3 linked regions of the Oryctolagus cuniculus genome follow. The protein of the gene in region 3 purifies or fractionates together with the protein of the main gene of each other region. This does not show direct contact. Links are inferred from orthologs where the notes say so. Each region holds a gene or a part of one and is shown on either strand. Other genes may lie near its edges. The genes, in order: NUP88, NUP214 and NUP62.

Region 1 (4,219 bases), on a different chromosome or scaffold from region 3:
CAGTTGAGTTTTGCAGGTGTTCCGCGCTTATGTTCGGTCTGTAATCGTGTCCTCATGCAGAACTAGCCTGATTTACCTTGAACCTGTAACGTCCCTTACTGCGTGGCTGTTACCTGGCGTCACTGAGGCACTCTAGGCAGGCCCGGCTTTGCCTCTCGGAGCTCACGCTGGCGAGCAGAAAGAGGACGTAAAGCCCGAGGACAGACCACACAGACTGCAGAGCACGCCGTTCCTCCCTTGAGGGGAACCTGCAGCCACTCGGTAGCGACTGCTGCACGCAGCGCAGCTGGCCCCAGCTCTGAGAGGAAGTGCGCGGGCACGGGCCTCTGCGGCTGCGCTCCTGGGCTCTGTTCCGAGCAAACTGCGGGTGTAGCCGTTTGTGAACTGTCCTGAAGGTGTGTCCTTAACCAGAAAGTGTTCAAATTAAAAAAGCTGCTGCCCCCTGCACCGTGTGGCCTCCTCTTTGTCTCTTCAGAGCCGCAGTTCTGGTGCTGCTACCTAAACACACAGCTCGTGTGCTTGCTCAGATAGGCCAAGAACGCGGTCGTGTTTGTGGCGAGCTCGCGGTGTGCAGCCCAAAGGCTGTCTCAGGACTTTAGCAATCACAGACATTCCACTTTTTAAAATAAAAGCCTTTATTCAATAATTAAAAAACAAATAAAATATTAAAAAATGAACCATCACACCAAAATTCATCTAAAATGCCTGTTTATAAATTAGTGCTGTCCGCGCTACAGCGTGGGTTTCGGCCTTCAGTTGACTCTGGTCCTTGCGGCGTCAGAAGTTCACGTGGTTCCGGATGTCGTTGATCTGTTTGACCATTTCTCTTATGTGTTCGCCCCTGTGAAAGTCACCATGACTGTCACGGCTTTGAGAACCAGGAGTCCGTAGTAGGGGTTCCTGACGGTCTCCGCTGTCATGGTGAACTCGAGTGTTCCGGAGCACAGCGGGGCCGCTGCGCACGCGCTCCCTGGGAAACCCTCGACCACACACCTCCTAGCGGGGAAGTGGCCTCCCCAGCCCTGCACGCCGTGTCCCAGCCCTGGCCCAGGAACCACTTGACCTGCTCACGGGGGCCGGGGCCGGGGCCGGGTACTTACTCCTCCTTCAGGATGGACTGGATGCACCGGCGCTGGTAGGCGCTGAGCGTGATGCTGGGCTTCTGAGCGCTCAGCACCCGCTCCATCTTGCGCTGCTGGTAGTCCTTCTTCATGGTGACCTGAGGAGCAGACAGAGGAGCGGGCCGTGGCTGTGGTTTGCCATGTATTTTCAGTCTCTTATTTTAGTCTGTCCTTTTTATATGTTATAAAGTTACTTTTGTGCAGAGCTGACGTAGACCGCCCGCAGCTGCTACCTGTTTGATGGCACTGGCCAGATGGCGGAGCTGCTCAGGAATGCGCTGCAGCTCTTTCTTCATGTCTCTCTCGCTGTCGGAGAGAACGGGGAGCTGAGAGTGGAAGCTGTGAAGCACTCTCTTCATCCTGCAGGGGAGGTAAGCGGACGCCTCAGCTCTAGCGCGCCGCTGCTGACGAGAAACACAGTCACAAACAGGAGCTGGCCAGGCCCGGCTCTCCACCGCGGCTTTGGTGGGCACCGTCGACTGGCTGGGGGTCTGCAGAGACCCACTACACAAGGTGGGAGAGCACAGCCAGGCCTTGCACTGCGCGGTGAGGCCGACACCCTCGGCTTCCCTGGTTCCAGGGCGCTCGGGCACAGCGGTGCCACACCAGGGATCCAGCCTGCCGGCGGCCTGTGGTGGGACCTCCCAGCTGCCGCCGTCATGCAAGCACTGCCCCAGATACGTGCCCCTCATCGCCCTACCTACAGATCCTACCGACTCCACCCCGCGCAGGTCTGTGAGCACCTACTAGGCGGGCCCTTTTCTTAACACTGCTGGTGCCCGGGCACGGACCTGTTCATGATGTCTTCTTGTTTCTCCTTGGCTTCCTCATACTTGTCAGCTAAGCGCTCGGCCATTTCACGCAGACTTTTCCTAATGGCATAAAAAGCAAGAGACTTGGGCCTCCCTGGCCGGTGGGGCTCAGCGTCCAGGGGCGACCACACAGCTCCACTCTCAGGATTGGTTCCTTCTCCCCGTCTTGACGCTCACCTCTCCTCCCGGCAGTAACTGAGATCTTCTAGTTGCTTCTTTTTCTGGTCACATAATAATTTGACCCTTTAAGAACAAAAAGAAAGTTTAATCAAAGGCTAGGCCTGTGCCGTGACCCGGCCTCAGGTTTGGGAACACAGCCGGTCACACCTCCGCTGAATCTCCTCCTTTGCCAGGTCCTGCTTCAGGATGTACTGTTCCCGGAACACCTGCGTGGCTCTGCTGATGAGCTGCAGACACTCCTCCGGAGGAGGGGCCGTATCCTTTTCAGACGACCTAGACACAAAGTTCCCGCGTGACTTTCCTTGAGCAAGCAGCACCACGCAACACGGTCCCCAGTCCCAGCTCCTCCCTTCTAACACTGTCTCTCATTCTCAGGAGCCAGGCCCCATCACCGGCTCCTCGGACCTGCCCGCGTCTCTTCAGCGCCGCCCAGCGGACGTCTGACATGCTGACGCGCAAGGAGGCCGCAAGCCCTCTTAGACCGTGCCCCCGCGATCCCGTACTTGAGGAACGCCGGATTGGCGGCGCTGCGCTGCAGGATGCTCCTGATGTGTTTTTCAAAGGAATCCGGAGTTTCGGCCAGAATTCGGAGGGGAGACGCGGCCACTTCGGCGTCCTCTCGGGTACAGAGCAGGGGCGGAGACGCCGGATGGACAGTACTTCTGCAAAAGGAACAGAAGAGCAGCGCCACAGAGTTGACGCAGGCACCACAGGAGTGCACACGCCGTGCTGACTCGGCACTCTGGTCCAGTGTGGCTTCCCCAGCACCCCAAGAATGCACGTCTTCTGACTGGCGGAGCTCAGCTCAGGGAGCCACACGCTTCTCCACCAGTGCTGCCGCTGGCACTCTGCCCACCTGCAATTCTGTCTGCCGAGATTAAAGCAGCACAAAACAGACACTGATTCAGGGCACTGCCGGGGAGCCGGAGCCACAGACAGAAGCGAATGCTCGCTTCTAGGTATGGATTTGATGAGACCCAGCACTAAGTCAGGTAGCTATTAAATCAAATATACTTGGTTTTATACACCTTGAATTCTAGAAATTACATCCACTCAAGTGAAAATATTTGCAGAGGCAATTTCAGAAAGAATCTGAAAGACTGCAAACTTTGGCAGTAGGTTAAGTGACTTTTTTGAAGGCAATGATTCAAATTTGTAAAGAAAATACCATTTTGTAGACAACCTGTATTTCAGGGATTAGCAAAAACACGGTTTGAGGGTGACCTGATGACGTCAGAACATTTCCCCCTTTGAGACTCACGTTCTCTATTTGGAAGTCGCCTGTCACAACTAGACTTTGTTAAAGGGGATGAGGCTTTTAAAAATAGCTGAAGCACTGGAAGTAGGCAGTTTTCTCCCAGTGACTTCAAATGTTTTTTTTTCAGCCATGCTAGAGTTTTGTCTTTTGGTATAACACATCAATTATTCATTTTCCCTTCTAAATATCATAATTTGTCAATCTTAAAAGAGGATAGAGATCCTCTGAGGACAGTGAGGACCAGTACTTGGCACCCAGTATCTAGAAGCGCAGGCTGAACCGGCATGGGGAGACGGGCGGGCGGGGCCTGCTGCTCGAAGCCCATGCCATCTGCTGTCCACTCTTCTTTCTGCATTCCTAAAACTCAGAGAAGCTTCATACTGGAACCAAGACCGAGCTCGGCTTCAGACCATCTCCAGTTACGGAGGTTGGCAGGCGGTGACACGGAGCGTGAGTGGGACGCCCAGTGAGTCGGCCCTGCATCTGCTGCCTCCTGGCCTTGACTGCCCTTCAGGGGACGAGGGTGACAAGGCTGCTGTGGGGTTCCAGGAGGCAGTGCAGGTGGAGAACTAGCTCTCGGCTGGCACACCGTCAGGCTGAGACTACTGCCAGTCATTAAATCTAATTCATCGGGATAATGCAGTTTATTATTTTAGTATTAACAAGAGCTGTTTTCTCAGCTAGAGGAAGATGCCAGAAACGACCTAAAATGAAAACGTCCAGAAATGTCCACCTCTGCAACCCTCTAGTTAGAAGCCGGGCATACACGGTGTACATAAGGCGAACCCAGTTACTGCGGCCATTCCCCAGCTGTGCAGAAGTAACGAGAGTGAGTAACAGGACATACA
Region 2 (3,643 bases), on a different chromosome or scaffold from region 3:
CAGATCTCAAACCAGGCACTGACGTGGGATACAGGGAGCCAGATCTCAAACCAGGCACTGACGTGGGATACAGGGAGCCAGATCTCAAACCAGGCACTGACGTGGGATACAGGCTTCACAGCCTCCGCCCCGATGCCCAGCCCTTGGCTCTGCTCTTTCACAGCGCCGGGACCTGGGATGGCTACTTAAACTCTTCGTAGTCCACTTCTCCATGGGTAAAATGAAGATACCGGTACCTACTACGTAAGACAGGCAGGAATGAACATGGACGAGGCATATAAGGTAGCACAGTGCCTGGCACAGAGTATAAACACTCACCATTACTGACTGTTATTCTTAAACTGCCTTAGGAGACCACAGTCCCACAATGTAACAACTTTTAACATTCTCTGTTAGACCCAAGACGTGGGAACTTCTGACATTATCCATTAATTTTATGGCCTTGGGCAGGCCACCCTAGCCTCTCGGGCTGGCTGTCTCATGTGTCAATGAGAAACAGCATTGCCTTGCGCAAGTGGTGTATGAAATAATTTCTAGAAGCCCTTTCTGTCTTCTAAGTGGGGCCAGCGCTATGGCGCAGCAGGTTAAAGCTGCAGCCTGCAGCACCAGCATCCCATATGGACGCCAGTTCAAGTCCCGGCTGTTCCACTTCTGATCCAGCTCTCTGCTATGCCCTGGGAAAGCAGTAGAAGATGGCCCAAGTGCTTGGGCCCCTGTACCCATGTGGGAGACCTAGAAGAAGCTCCTGGCTTCAGATCAGCTCAGCTCTGGCCATTGCGATCATTTGGGGAGTGAACCAGTAGATGAAAGACATCTCTCTCTTTCTGCCTCTGTCTCTCTGTAACTCTGTCTTTCAAATAAATGAAATAAACCTTTTTTAAAAAGGACTGAAGGCTGGCGCCGCAGCTCACTAGGCTAATCCTCCGCCTTGCGGCGCCAGCACACCGGGTTCTAGTCCCGGTCGGGGCACCAGATTCTATCCCGGTTGCCCCTCTTCCAGGCCAGCTCTCTGCTGTGGCCCGGGAATGCAGTGGAGGATGGCCCAAGTGCTTGGGCCCTGCACCCCAAGGGAGACCAGGATAAGCACCTGGCTCCTGGCTTCAGATCAGCGCGGTGCGCCGGCCGCAGCAGCCACTGGAGGGTGAACCAATGGCAAAGGAAGACCTTTCTCTCTGTCTCTCTCTCTCTCACTATCCACTCTGCCTGTCAAAAAAAAAAAAAAGTAAAAAAAGGACTGAAGTAAGCATTTGGCACAGTGGGTAAGATGCTCTTTGGAGGGGCCAGCACTGTGGCGTAGCAGGTAAAAATGCCACCTGCAGTGTCAGCATCCCATATGGGCGCCAGTTCGCATCCTGGCTGCTCCACTTCTGTTCCAGCTCTCTGCTATGGCCTGGGAAAGCAGTAGAGCAGTAGAAGATGGCCCAAGTCCTTGGGCCCCTGCACCCATGTGGGAGACCTGGAAGAGGCTCCTGGCTCCTGGCTTCGAACCGGCTCAGCTCCAGTCATGGCGGTCATTTCGGGAGTGAACCAGCAGACGGAAGACCTCTCTCTCTCTCTGCCTCTGTAACTCTGCCTTTCAAACAAATAAATATTAAAAAAAAAAAAAAAAAAAAAAAAAAACCTGCTCCTTGGAAAGGTGCAGCCCTATCGGAGTGCCTGGGCTGCAGTGCCAGCTCCACGCTAACGTGCATCACGGGCAGCAGGGGTGAAGGCTCCAGTGCTTAGGGCCCTGACCCACGTGGAAGACCCACACCGAGTTCCTGCCTCCTGGTTCTGGCATGGCCCAGCCCCAGCTGTGGTGAACATTTCGCCTTTTAAAGAAAATTAAAATTGTAACTAAATAATACACACTTTTTAAATCCATATTTTAGTCTTGAAAAACAACTGCAGGCATCAACCCAAGAAACCTCTCATCGTTAATTCCAGGTCGGGAAACCTCAGCTCCCCACTTCGACACTCCAGCTTGCTGGCGGCTTACCTCATTTGAGAACGTGCGGACGTCAAAAAAAGTGATAATGGAACCATATTCACTGGACATCATGCACACGGAGAGAGTGAGGTTATCACAGCTCAGGGCCAAGTGATGGATTGGAAATTTCATAGGAACTAGCAAGCTTTGGACCTTATCAACTATGGAAACAGAAAAAGACAATGCAGAAAACACGCTCTAAGCATAGAAGCACAACGCCTTTATCCAAGTCAATGTGAAACAATTTTTGCATCTACACATATACCCCAAAACCTAGTTAGGAAGATAATCATAACTTTCTTAAATAGATACATGATGATGCTGTAAGTATCCAAGGACTCCTCCTCATACGACCTTGGGAGTCTAACTTTGGCTTCTAACCTTGTGGAAAACATTTGTGCAACAATGTTCCACATAGCACACATTCCCAGGTGTTTGCATGGTACTGTGCCAAGGAGAAACCCAGGTGATAAAACCCTTTTCCTGGAGCCAGAAACCTAGTTGAAGTAAGCAAAAATAAAAGCACGGCCTAATGCTAAGTTCTTCCTCCTGCGCTCAGAGGACGCTCACTGACACAGACATACAAAGGACCGAACCACAAGGCCTGCGCACCCCACCCAGAGCTTCCTCCTGGGAGCCAACTGTAGGCTCAACAGCAGTGCTAATCTTCATATTATTCCTGGGAAGAACACACAGCAGTACATCACCACACCCCCCTCCTGACGACGTAACATAAGTCAGAGAACTTACCTATTTTATTGGGATCATCTCCAAGTTTATTTTGAATAAGAAGATTTTTAGTAGGGAAAACTTGCAACCCACTGGCTCCGCCAGCAAAGACCAAACCGTACTTGTTGGACACGGCAAGCAGACTCGAGCGCTCCTTGGGCAGCTCCTCGGGAGAATCAAAGATCCTCACCTTTCTCAGGGCTCTGAACTGAAAATCCTGTTGAAAGGGTCAAAACAAGACCAATTCAGGGTAAACAGGAAGTTAAATCATGTCAGTTGTTATTTTCTTAGACTCAATTTCAGTACACCAGAAACGTATATTGCAAAGGCCAAGAGCCATCTCAGTTGTTTTTAAAATGTTTTCATTAACTTGAACAAAATAAATGAAAGAAAAAACACCTTCCACAAAGCATCCTTTGACTAATCCAGCTGACACTGATCTCCTTTTCTGAGTTCGTATTATTGTCTGAATCACCACACGACCTACGCCATAACCTTGTCCTATTTCATGGCATGGACAGTCTCATAACCCAACAGCGTGCTAACCAATTATTGCTAAATACTGAGAGCATCACCAGCTACACTGCAGTGCTAACTTCCAGGGCAGTAGTCAGCAATGCACACTGAGAAAACTGCAGGAAGAAGACCAAACCCCAGAGCTGGCTTACTCTTACAAATGTTCAACAAAATTCCATCGTGGAAAAAGGACACGGTGAATCTCCTGGTGTTCATGACCTTAAAGCAGAAGCTAGATGCTGTGAAATACCTGAAACAGGAGTCCAAATCCCCTAACACAGACTGCCAAGACCAGGCACAACTCAATCCAGCCAAAGCTGCAGCGTCCCCTCACGACTCTGCCTCCCTCCATAAGGGCTCACTGCCTCTGCCAGTCCTACCAACCCTGCCGTCTCTGCCATCCATTTTCACGCTCCCTAATACCTTGGA
Region 3 (3,643 bases):
TCAGGTTTTTATTTTTAAAATACAGGAGGGGCCGGCGCCGTGGTGCAGTGGGCTAATCCTCCGCCTGCGGCGCCGGCACCCCACATGGGTGCCACTTCTAGTCCCAGTTGCTCCACTTCTGATCCAGCTCTCTGCTGTGGCCTGGGAGAGCAGGCCTTGGGCCCTGCACCTGTGTAGGAGACCGGCAGAGAGCACCTGGCTCCTGGCTTTGGATCGGCGCAGTTCTGGCCATTTGGAGTGAACTGGTGGAGGGAAGACCTTTCTCTCTGTCCCTCTCACTGTCTGTGGCTCTATTTCTCAAATAAAATAAATAAAATCTTTAAAAATAAAATAAAGGAAAGCAACTGAGTTTTACTCATGTTTAATATGTGAAACGGGAGTATATACACACGCACACCAGGGAAGCACGCTTGGGATGGCGTCGTGGCACAGGTGCCAGCCGCTGCCCGTGCCGCCGGCATCCGGTACCCATGGCACTGCTCTCTGCTCAGTGGGAAGGCAGCTGGGGTGGCAGCAGATGGTGGCCCAAGTGTTGGGGTCCCTGCCACCCAGGTGGGGGGGGGAACCTCTCCCTCTGTCACTCTTTCAAATGCATATATTTTTTAAATGCCCATTTTTTTCCCCCTAGGAAGATTGTGTGGCCTTTGACAGGGACAATCTGAGCTCGCGGGCTCAGTAACATTGCTCCACGGATGTCGAATGAAAAAACGCAGGCAGGAAACAGACCACTTTTCTAGGGCAGGAGCGCGGGCCCTCCCCGTGGTCAAGGCCGGGAGAGGGCAGCAGCGCTCACGGAGGCTGGCGGGGTCTTCCTCCTCCCTGTTCTGTGGCTGCTGCCTGCAAAGTTGTGTTGGCCTTCAAGGCCCCAGATGGTTCAACGTAAACAATGACTTGTGATCTTGACCTTGGGAAGCTTCTAGAAAATGGGCCACAGGGCTCCGAGGTGTGAGCCATGGAGCGGGTGAGGCCAAGGGGCCGGGACCCCCGTCCCCAGGAGGAGGGAGAGCTCCCAGCAGCTGGCCGGGCCGCACCTGGGAGTCGCCTCTCCGCCCGAGCCCTCCAGCTAGCCCCAGCGGAGGAACGGAGGCTGCTCCACCGGGGCGAGGGCAGGCAGTGCGGTGCCAGCGCCCGCGTCACCCACAGGTCAGCACAGACCCAAGACTGTTCGCGCCTGTCGGCCGGAGGGCGCCAGCACGGTGGCTTCTGGGAGCTGCTCGCTCTCGACCGCCTCACCCTGACGTTACACAGGCACGGCAGCTGTTCATGTTTTTATTCAGGAAGGCGACACACAGCGTGGCTATCGTAGAGAATGCAAAGCACACACACAGGACACTGGGCGGCGACACGGGGACCTTGGCGGGGCTCAGGGCCCCTGCGTGGCCACCGCGGCCACCGCAGCAGGCAACACGGTGGACCAGCGCTACGCCAGGTTTCATCTTCGTCCTTTGCTCATTCAGCAAAGCTGACTGGGACTGTGCTGGGGACAAAGGGGGACAGAGTCAGTCCCTGCCCCCGGGAGCTCAGTCTACCAGTGAGACGGGGGCCAACAGTCGGCACAAGACGCACAGCCAGTCCTCCCTGGCACAGGCTCAGTGTGCCATGGGGCCGGCCGGGGCGGCGCCCTGGAAGAGGGGAGGCCCGAGGGCCCACCTGGACGGGGAGCGGGCACAGGGAAGCCCCCCGGGCTTGGGCCTCGCCTCAGCTGAGCAGCCCCTCCTTGCGGGGAGCAGTGTGTCTGGGCGGAGCGCACGGCTTAAACCCCACACGGGGCAGAGGGCAGCCTGCCCACCTCAGCACTTCCACTGTGCTGGGCAGAGCGGCCGGCGGCAGCCTCTCCTCTCCGGCCTCAGCGCCTCTGTCGGGGGAGGGCGAGGTGGGTGGCAGTGGGTGAAAGGGGCCAAAGACACAGGACTCAGACACAGAGCCGCCCACCGGCTGCTGCCCGCCCGCCCAGCGGCGCTCGGGACACTTTCTACGCATTCGCTGGCGGGCAAAGTCAAACCACAGAACACTTCTCTCCACAGCACAATCGCTTCAGAGAATCGGCCCCCCCGGCCACCAGGGAGCGCCGCGGCCCCGGCCCGGCCGTCAGTCGAAGGTGATGCGGAAGCTGCGCTCCTGCTCCTTGCGCCGCCCCTCGCACACCTTGGTCACCTCCTCCACCTTCCGCTGCAGCAGCGCCGAGTTCTGGTCGATCCACTGCAGCGAGTCCATGTGCGCGTTGAGGATCTTGCAGATCTGCTGCAGGGGGTCGCTGGTGTCGGCGGGGCCCCCGGACGTGTTCAGGTGCTCGATGATGTCCTTGAGGTCCTGGGCCATGCGCTTGAGCTGCGCGTCGATGTTCTCGGCCAGCTTGTAGGTCTTCTCGCGCTCCTCGTCGGCGTGCTGCAGGCACACGGCCCCGCTCTGCTCCTTCACCCAGCCCTCCAGCGGGCTCAGCAGGTCCTCCAGCTCCTTCTGCTGCGACAGGATGAAGTCGAGCTCCTGGTCCAGCCGCTTCTGGTCCAGCTTCACCTTCTCCACCTGGCGGTGCAGGCTGGTGATGCGCTCGCCGTTCTCGACGAGCGTGCGGTCCCAGGCGTTCACCTGGGTGGCCTGCTGCAGGAAGTGCCGCTCCTGGTCCTCCAGCTCCAGGCTCCACTTGTTGATGAGGCTCTCCAGCTGCGCGTAGGTCATCGCGGGGCTGCCGGCCGCCCCGGTGGCTGCGCTGGGGGCCGCTGGAGCACTCGCGGCGGCCGTCGTGTTGCTGGGGACCCCGGCCGGCGCCAGAGGTTTTAGATTCAAGGCGAAGCTGGTGGTGGTGGTGGTGGTGGTGGTGGCAGCAGCGGACGTCACCGTGGAGGTGCCGGCAGCTGCTCCAGGGGCCTTCAAGGTGAAGCCCAGCGTCCCAGGCGCGGGCGCCGCGGCGGTGGTCGCTGGGGCACCGAGGGAGAGCCCCGTGCCGGTGGATGAGGTGGGAGCCGCGGCTATGGAGGCAAAGAGGGTGGGCCCAGCGTTGGAGGTGGCGGCGGGCGTGGGCGCGGCCGGCTGGCTGGGCCCTGCCCCCGTGGCCGCTGGCGTGGCTGCGGTGAAGGGAGACCCGGTCAGCGCCGTGGGCTGGGTGGCCGAACTCCCCACGGAGCCGATGTTGAAGCCAGACGTCCCCGTCTGCGAGGAGCTTCCCCCGGTGAAGGAGAACCCTCCGGATGTGGTGGCGGGGGCCGCAGGCGTGGTGGTAGAGCCGAACACAAAGCCGGTGGGAGCTGTGCCCTGGCTGGAGGTGACGGTGCCCGACGTGGCACTGGTGAGGGTGCTGCTGCCGAGCCCAAAGCCACTGGGGTTTGCTGTGGCTGAGGTGGCCGCCGTGCTGCCCAAGTTCAGCTTCGGGGCGTTGAGACCTAGGGAGAAGCCGGTGCCTCCGGAAGCGGGAGTCGTGGTGCCAAAACTGAACGCCGGGGTCTGGGCTGCTGGCGCTTGGGTCGTGAGAGAGAACAGCCCGGTGGAAGGGGTGCTCGCGGCCGCAGGGGAGGGAGTCCCAAAATTAAACCCGCCAGAGCTAGACGTAGAGAAAGAGAACCCCGTCGCCGGCGTGGTGCTGGTTGCTGTCTTTGCGGTACCAAAGGTGAACCCGCCTGTGGGGGCCCCAGTGCCTCCAAAATTAAAC

What was found.
Region 1: the proteins of NUP62 (region 3) and NUP88 purify together in Homo sapiens (co-immunoprecipitation; 4 studies listed by BioGRID and IntAct, counting the BioPlex papers as one, with this or other methods). This does not show direct contact. The link is inferred for Oryctolagus cuniculus from reciprocal best matches to the Homo sapiens genes NUP62 and NUP88.
Region 2: the proteins of NUP62 (region 3) and NUP214 purify together in Homo sapiens (affinity purification with mass spectrometry; 5 studies listed by BioGRID and IntAct, with this or other methods). This does not show direct contact. The link is inferred for Oryctolagus cuniculus from reciprocal best matches to the Homo sapiens genes NUP62 and NUP214.

What each region holds. Positions count from the first base shown.
Region 1 is NC_091448.1:50,941,379-50,945,597, reverse strand, and holds the end of NUP88 (nuclear pore complex protein Nup88), read right to left. Parts: coding exon 4,219-4,219; intron 2,776-4,218; coding exon 2,617-2,775; intron 2,387-2,616; coding exon 2,261-2,386; intron 2,177-2,260; coding exon 2,111-2,176; intron 1,994-2,110; coding exon 1,913-1,993; intron 1,482-1,912; coding exon 1,355-1,481; intron 1,220-1,354; coding exon 1,101-1,219; intron 842-1,100; coding exon 778-841; 3' UTR 618-777; downstream 1-617. UniProt on the Homo sapiens protein: Component of nuclear pore complex.
Region 2 is NC_091432.1:233,665,222-233,668,864, reverse strand, and holds part of NUP214 (nuclear pore complex protein Nup214), read right to left. Parts: intron 2,916-3,643; coding exon 2,720-2,915; intron 2,131-2,719; coding exon 1,979-2,130; intron 1-1,978. UniProt on the Homo sapiens protein: Part of the nuclear pore complex. Has a critical role in nucleocytoplasmic transport.
Region 3 is NC_091449.1:7,675,514-7,679,156, reverse strand, and holds the end of NUP62 (nuclear pore glycoprotein p62), read right to left. Parts: coding exon 2,089-3,643; 3' UTR 346-2,088; downstream 1-345. UniProt on the Homo sapiens protein: Essential component of the nuclear pore complex. The N-terminal is probably involved in nucleocytoplasmic transport.